Saccharomyces cerevisiae S288C: one gene and its partner. The gene in region 2 interacts genetically with the main gene of each other region. Each region holds a gene or a part of one and is shown on either strand. Other genes may lie near its edges.

The links. Genes that interact genetically often act in the same process or in processes that back each other up.
Region 1: mutations in FCF1 (region 2) and NOP6 together harm fitness more than expected from each alone (negative genetic interaction), as found in Saccharomyces cerevisiae (2 studies listed by BioGRID).

Annotation. Positions count from the first base shown.
Region 1 is NC_001136.10:76,317-79,625, forward strand, and holds NOP6 (Nop6p), read right to left. Parts: upstream 1,651-3,309; coding exon 973-1,650; downstream 1-972. Other genes in the region: serine/threonine protein kinase PRR2, read right to left, coding at 1-229; SHR3 (Shr3p), read left to right, coding at 2,110-2,742; YDL211C (uncharacterized protein), read right to left, coding at 2,978-3,309. UniProt on the Saccharomyces cerevisiae protein: Predicted to be involved in rRNA processing.
Region 2 is NC_001136.10:1,148,507-1,152,415, forward strand, and holds FCF1 (rRNA-processing protein FCF1), read right to left. Parts: upstream 2,015-3,909; coding exon 1,445-2,014; downstream 1-1,444. Other genes in the region: YDR338C (uncharacterized protein), read right to left, coding at 1-960; YDR341C (arginine--tRNA ligase), read right to left, coding at 3,297-3,909. UniProt on the Saccharomyces cerevisiae protein: Essential protein involved in pre-rRNA processing and 40S ribosomal subunit assembly. Required for the early cleavage steps of 35S rRNA at the A(0), A(1), and A(2) sites.

The DNA of each region.
Region 1 (3,309 bases), 1.1 Mb from region 2:
TAAAGTCTGTCCGAGGTACACTATCTGCAACAGGGAGAGAAGAAAAAACGGAATCATATGATTTATTTAGCGCCTCACCCGTCTTAGCAGCCATATTCACACCAACACTAGTGGGATCGCCTAACGAGACGGAATATGCCCAATTATCGGAATAGGCGTGTTCTGCAGTCAAGGAAGCTGTAGTTTTGTTATTTCTCTGATTATATCGCAGGATTCTAGACAACGACATCACTCCGTATGATAAGTAAAAGGATTACGTACGCTATTGTGAACGTTTTTGCAATCTATCTAGTTTTTCCTATTAACTTTTTTCTTTTCAAAAATTCATAAAGGCAAGGAAATATGTTCCGATTGACAATAAGTTCAGTGAGTGAATGAATGTTAATGAAAAGAATTCAATTTCCAGATTTTCGTATTTATTTTTTTTTTTTGCACCTTTCCTTATTGTGTGACCACAGCCGAAGGTGACGAAGGGATGGAGACTAGCCAAAGAGAGCCGGCTGTTAGACAAAAAAAAAAGCGGAGATTGTTTAACGGATACGTCTTAATAAGCAATCCGGCAGCACCGAGAATGTTTTTACCCTCTGTCCTTTTTCTTGGCGTTCCTATAATTCAAATAACCCCCAATATGCTAACAGCCGTAACCTTAAATGTTAGACATGTTACCCCTGTACGTCATTGCGGGGGGAGTGCATTGATTAAGGGGTAGTAGTAAAAATTCCCACCGGACTTGAAGTGCGGAAAAGTAGCTCCGATTTGGGGAAAAAAAAGTACCAGCCGTCTCGTCTTTCATGATAAAGTGAAATAGAGCAGCGGTAATAATGCGGCGCTATTGCTTCCGGAAGAGTTTACGTATTGGGCATCTTTGCCATTTCTTTTTTTGGCAGTAGCATGATTCTGCACGATTATTTATGTTTTTCCCTTTATTTTCTTTTTGTCTAAGATACATGGCGTATAAAATTAAATTTGTACTCATTTAAGTAGTTTGGCTCTATCAGGATGAATTCCTGCAGGAACAGGCTTGTTGTCTGTTCCAGAGGTTTGAGCTGCAGTGGCGGTAGTTTTGGCGATTTTCTTTTGGTTGCCGTCGTTAATCATCTTTGTCAACCTCTCTTTACGTTCTTCATCCAACTTGATGTTTTTGTTTTTCAATTTTTCTAGACGCTCTTGACTGTTACCACCTCCGCCAACAGTTAGCTCGACATTGATCTTCTTCTCTTTCAGTAAGGTCCCATGTTGTAATAAGGCAATGTCCATACGTCTTTGAATGCCGGTGCGATCTTTGTCAGCATCGAATTCCAAAAATGCAATACCTTTGTCAGCTCTGAGGCGGATCTGGTCGGGTGAACTATTTTTAAAATGGTTTTGCAATTCAACAGCAGTGATGTCTCTAGGTAAGCTACCGACAAAGACAATAAATCTGTTGCCCTTTTTACCATTTTTGCCCTTACCACCACGGCCTCTACGTGTTTTTCTTTTTTTCTTCACGGGTTCTTCACCATCATTTCCGGCTGCACTGTTGGGTCTTTTTCCTTCTGGTGCTTGCTCTTTTTTTACGTCTTTCTCTTGATCTTTTTCCTCCTTACTTTTTCTAAACTGCTGAGCTTTGAGCTGCTTCTTGGTCAACTTTTTATCTTCCTCGGACCCCATTTTAGCTGTAGACGTCTTCAATCTCTATCCTGTCCTCTACATTAGATTACTTTCTCATTTTCTCAGAAAACCTTTTAAGCTCATCGATTAAGAAGAAAAAAATCTTAGAAAATTTTCAGGAATGCCGGGTAAACGTATGGGGAAAGGACTTGGTGAATCGAGTTAATGTGGAGTTCGTAATAATAGTACTCTCATACCAAGTTTTCCATCCATAATTGTTTTTGGTTGCCGTTACTTTACACCATCACCTTTCGCCAATGTAATTGGTGGCTCTTTCCCTCTCCATCTTTTTTTATAATGTACTAAAATTAATACACGATAACAATTTTTTCGGGTTGTGTAAAAACTCTGAAAAATATAAAAAGTTGATGAAAGGACAGATTTAAGTATTTTGGAAGACAGCCGTAAATTCATTGGACTACAGAGCATAAAATCCCGTGATACGATAAAACTCTAACGATGTTCTCATATTCAGATTTCTGTTCTATCGGTACGGCCATGATCTTATCGGCCACAACGTTCCTAATGGGTGTTTTCTTCAGTAACATGCCATACGATTATCATCTTTTATTTAATCCTAACTCTACTCAAGAGCATTTCGATTTGGCACTGAGACATTACCAAATTTTACATGAGACTCCATTGCCGGTGATTGTTACTTTGTGCGTTGTTGCCGGTATTGGCTTAGTTGGTGGTACAATTAAGGTTTTCAAGCCAAACCCTGAACTGCAGATGTTTGAGTATTGTTCATTGGGGTTGTACGTGTTGGCTATCTGTGTGTTTCTCACTAATGTGAAAACAGGTATCGACTGTTCTGTGAGCCATAATTGGGGAGAAGTTACGGAAAATCAGGGTTTGGCAGTTATTGCTTCCTCCAACATAATTTTATTAGTTATGTTTGCCGGTGTTATCATCCTACAAATTGGTTTGTGGTACAGTAACTGGGATTTGCAAAAAAGATTAAAGGAGTTTTATGCTCAAGAAGAAAGAGAAGCTGCCAATGCCGGTAAAAAGACTGAGAAAGTTGACAATGCGAAAAAGAATGATAACAAATCTAAAGGTGCTCAAAAGAGGAAGAACGCCAAAAAATAGGCCATAATATTTTTAACATTTTCTCTTTTTGTCCCTCTTTTCCCGTCTGTGACGAAACAGACGATTATACGAATCTAGTTGTATAGTAAGATCAATATTTATTATATAAATACTGTTGAATAAATAAAACTCTATCTGCTTCGTGCATAAATTTACAAATAATTCCAAAGAAATAGCAACAAGTACCAGCCTTGTTTAGAAGTACGAAAATCTTGGAATCCACTTTTTTCTATTTTTAAATAATTTCTCTCAAAAAGCTATTGGTTTGCTGAATATTTGGCCGAGTAATAGTAGACGCACTGGAACTTGTTTCTTCAATGGATGACTCCGCAGATTCATTGTATGACGATACGTATGAAAATCTCCCGGATTCGTGATCCGCCATCCCATAATAAGGATGTGCTATATATATACCGTCTGAGGAACTAGCTCTGTGTAAATCTCTACCATTTTCAAAGGAATCTCGTTTGCCCTCGCCGTTGGTTGTTACTTTATAATTAAGGACATTTAGGAACGGATTTGACGGTGCTTCTGTTTCTGTTACCTCATCACAACTTACCCTCTTGC
Region 2 (3,909 bases):
ATATATGACCAATGAAAAAGCAATGCAACGTTGAAGGTGAACTCCTACACTGTAGAATCTCCCAGAGCCATACGCTTGAGGGCATAGAGTATCTAGACTAGTGGCAATACCCTCGAATATCGCTAGTGTTATATTAGAAGTCATGGATGCTAAGGACACAGCTGCTAGTTCATTTTTGCCTAAGTGGCCCACAGTTAATGAACATACCATAGGGAAAATCTGTTCCAATAAGAATGTGAAAATTAGAGGGAAGGAATAAGATGCCAAAACTCTTGCTTCTGATTTGAAGGTGACGTGGCTGTGAGCCAATTCTGCTAGTGCCTCAGAATCGTTCTCGTCGATCTCTTGGTAAATTGTGGGAACTGAGCCTCGGCTAGTCACAGATACGAATGATGGTCTTCTGTGATGTGAGGTGCCTTTAGCGTCTGTTACCGCACTTCGAGTTAATTTCTGTTTCTGAGCTTGGAGTCTATTCATAAATTCGTCATATTCTAGTTCTCTTCCAGAATATTCTTGTATTCTATCTGGTGTGTTGCTTTGACTTGCTTCCTCATTATCAGAGTTGCATACCGATGAGTATCGTCGTTCATGTTCATGTAGAATCCAATCAACATCTTGTGGCGAAAGCTCAGGAGTTTCTGATACCCTTGATGGTAGAGAAATCGTTCTGCTCAGTTCGCCATCTTCTTCATCATGATAGTAAAGGTCAGGTTCCTCATCAATATTACCTAAGTACGGATTTGGTTCATGGACGTTACTTCCAAAATCATCTGTTAAAGATCTGAAACTCCTCTGATCAATATTTCTCGTTCTTGCACGAAATTTTCGTACCAGAGGATTCTTCTTGTTGGGAGGTAGGAAGCCTAGCGATATCCTCCTGTGAGTGTTACCGATACCCATACCATTTGTTCGGAGGGAAGGATGCACTTCTGAAAGAGTCTTTGACAAAATTCCAGCCATTTTTTCAACCTTTTTTTTATCCGTATATATTAAGGTATGCTATATGTGTATTTTCCAATGTTTAGTTTTTATAATAATACTTCTTCAGCATCAAATATGCTTGCTTATGTAAAAATACAATCAAGTTTTGTCCCTTGCTTGCGCGAAGATGAAAACTTCCTTAAGAAATATTCTGCATCGCGTGGAACCCATGGAAGAGGATAATAGCTGACAGTGATATTATGAAAAGATGCCAAATGGTTACCGTTTATAACTGTTACTGGTCGCGTCTCAAACGCCCTCTTTTTTCTCCTTGCATTTGCGTTTCTTTAGAGCAATTATTGAGTAAATGGTCTTGAAAAGAAATAGAAATATCCTTAGGCATTTCAGTTCATCTGAAAACATGCTCCAATACGGGCAAACCATGAACTTGTTGTTATGAAATTAATATACATATAAACCAAAAACATTGCACTACATACTTAAAGAGTGAATACACAGTAGTTTAAAAGACATCTGGCAATTTTTCAATGACGTATGCGTGACCGCCTACGCTCATCAAAGGAATTCCAGGGATTTTTCTAATTCTTTGTTTCAGGCCGGCATCGTTTGTAGCTACGATGTAACACTTATGTTGTAAGACTCGATGCACTAAACAGTCATCCGCGTACGTACCCTTGTGCGAACAGCTTAGTCTCTTTATTCTAGGATCTCGAGCCAGTTTCAAGGCGATACGGTACTTGGGGCCCAATTTTTCTAACTCTGCCATCACACAATCTGTGATTAACGGGTTACATTTTGCGAGTAGACAGTCCATCATTCCTCTAACAATATCGACTTTTTTCTGGATAGAAAAATTTATAAAATTGGTATCTATCAGTACTTGATAAGGTGGCTTTATAGCTTGATTGTATTGAAAGAAAAGTGCACTTGATACTTGTGGTATATTCCTGGTTAGCTCAGGGTCTTCTTTAGTTTTGATATTTTCCTGGTTTTTCTTCAATCTTTGGTCTTTCTTGGTGTTCAAAGTTCTTTTTACGAGGCCAAACTTTCTTGTTTTCTTAGCTTTACCCATAATTAACTGTTGTAGTATATCGATATTTCCGTTACAAGTCACTGTTATTGTGTGTTAATGCACAGTAATGTTTAAAGAGGCATCATTCAAGAATAGTAGCAAGCTGAAAAATTTTAGCCGTTCATAATGATACCTTTAGAAATATGCCAAATTTTTTTGTTATATCTTCCAGTAGGAACCGATAGTTTGAGTAATGTTTATAAAATCATTGCAAGTGAATAAGCAATTAATGGCAATAGTCCACAAACGATAGGTACATGAAGGTGGCTCACAATCAAAAAAATCAAGCTTTAAAATAGTGGATGTAGAAAAAATAAAGTGCGTCACAGACAGGATTCGAACCTGCGCAGGTAAAACCCAATGCCTAATTGCTTTTCTGAGGAAATAGCAGGCATCGCCTTAACCACTCGGCCACTGGGACTGAAACACTTTGAAGTGAAAGTGTTTCTAGTTTTCTATATCATTACTATGGTGAAAATCTATATTTTCTTGATTAGGAATAAAATCATGGAAAGAAGTGTTGGAATAAAAATTCACTATCGTCTGTCAACTAATAGTTATAGTATCAATATACTATCATATACGGTGTTAGATTATGACATAAGTTATGAGAAGCTGTCATCGAAGTTAGGGGAAGCTGAAGTGCAAGGATTGATAATGTAATAGGATAATGAAACATATAAAACGGAATGAGGAATAATCGTAATATTAGTGTATAGAAATATAGATTCCATTTTGGGATTCCTATATCCTCGAGGAGAATTTCTAGTATATTCTGTATACCTAATATTATAGCCTTTATCGACAATGGAATCCCAACAATTATCTCAAAATTCACCCAATTCTCAATTTGATAATTGTTGGGATTCCATTGTAAAGAAAATCGGTATTTCTACATTATAATATTACGATTATTTCTCCTTTTGTTTTTTATGGTTTTCATTACCCTATCACATTATCAATCTTTATATTTCAGATTCCATTAAATTTGATAACTTGGTTGATAGATGACAGTTAATTCTTTTTCCAATAGAAACAACGAAGACTTTTTTCTTACTTTTTGTTGATGTTTTTCAAGTTCTGTTTGACCCGTATTTTTCTACGTTAAAATCGTGATTACTTTACGAATCTTGTTTTCTTATTTTTTTTCGATCTATTTAATGAAATGTGGACAATGGCCCCTAACAAAAAGATGGCAAGGATTGAAATAATCCGTTTATACAATTTATATCCAATTATAGAAATAAAACACATTTGAAGAATGGCTTGGTGGAAAAGTTTATTACATTCTTTCTACGGGAGTTAAACCTAACAAGCGCATACCGTTGTATAAAACTTGTCTTGCAGCACCATATAGAGCCAGACGGGCAGTTGCTAATTCTTCAGTTTGACCAGCAACCCATAAGACGTCATAACAAGAAGAAACCTGGTGAGTCAATTTGAATAAATATGTGACCACGGTTGTTGGCTCGTGGGTTTTGATTGCATTTCTCAAAACATCGGGGTATTGGCCTAGCAGTCTAATCAACAGTTTTGCGGCAGGTTCTTTTAATAACGAAAAATCGGCATTTATCCATTTTTCTTGGGTGATACCAGAAGCATTTCTTTCAACTGATCTTAACCTTGAGTGAGCATATTGAAGGTATGGACCAGTGTCACCTTCGAATGAAAGCATTCTTTCCCATTTAAACTCGTAGTTGTTGATACGCTTACCTTGCATATCTTGAATCATGACGGCAGAGATACCAACTAAATCGGCAACTTCTTCTGGATGCTCAATTTGCGCGTATTTGTTCTCATTCTTTTTCATAACTTCGTGCATTTTTTCCTTAGTTTCCTCCAAGATATTATCTAAGAAGACAACAGTACCTTTTCTTGTTGACATACCTTGGACC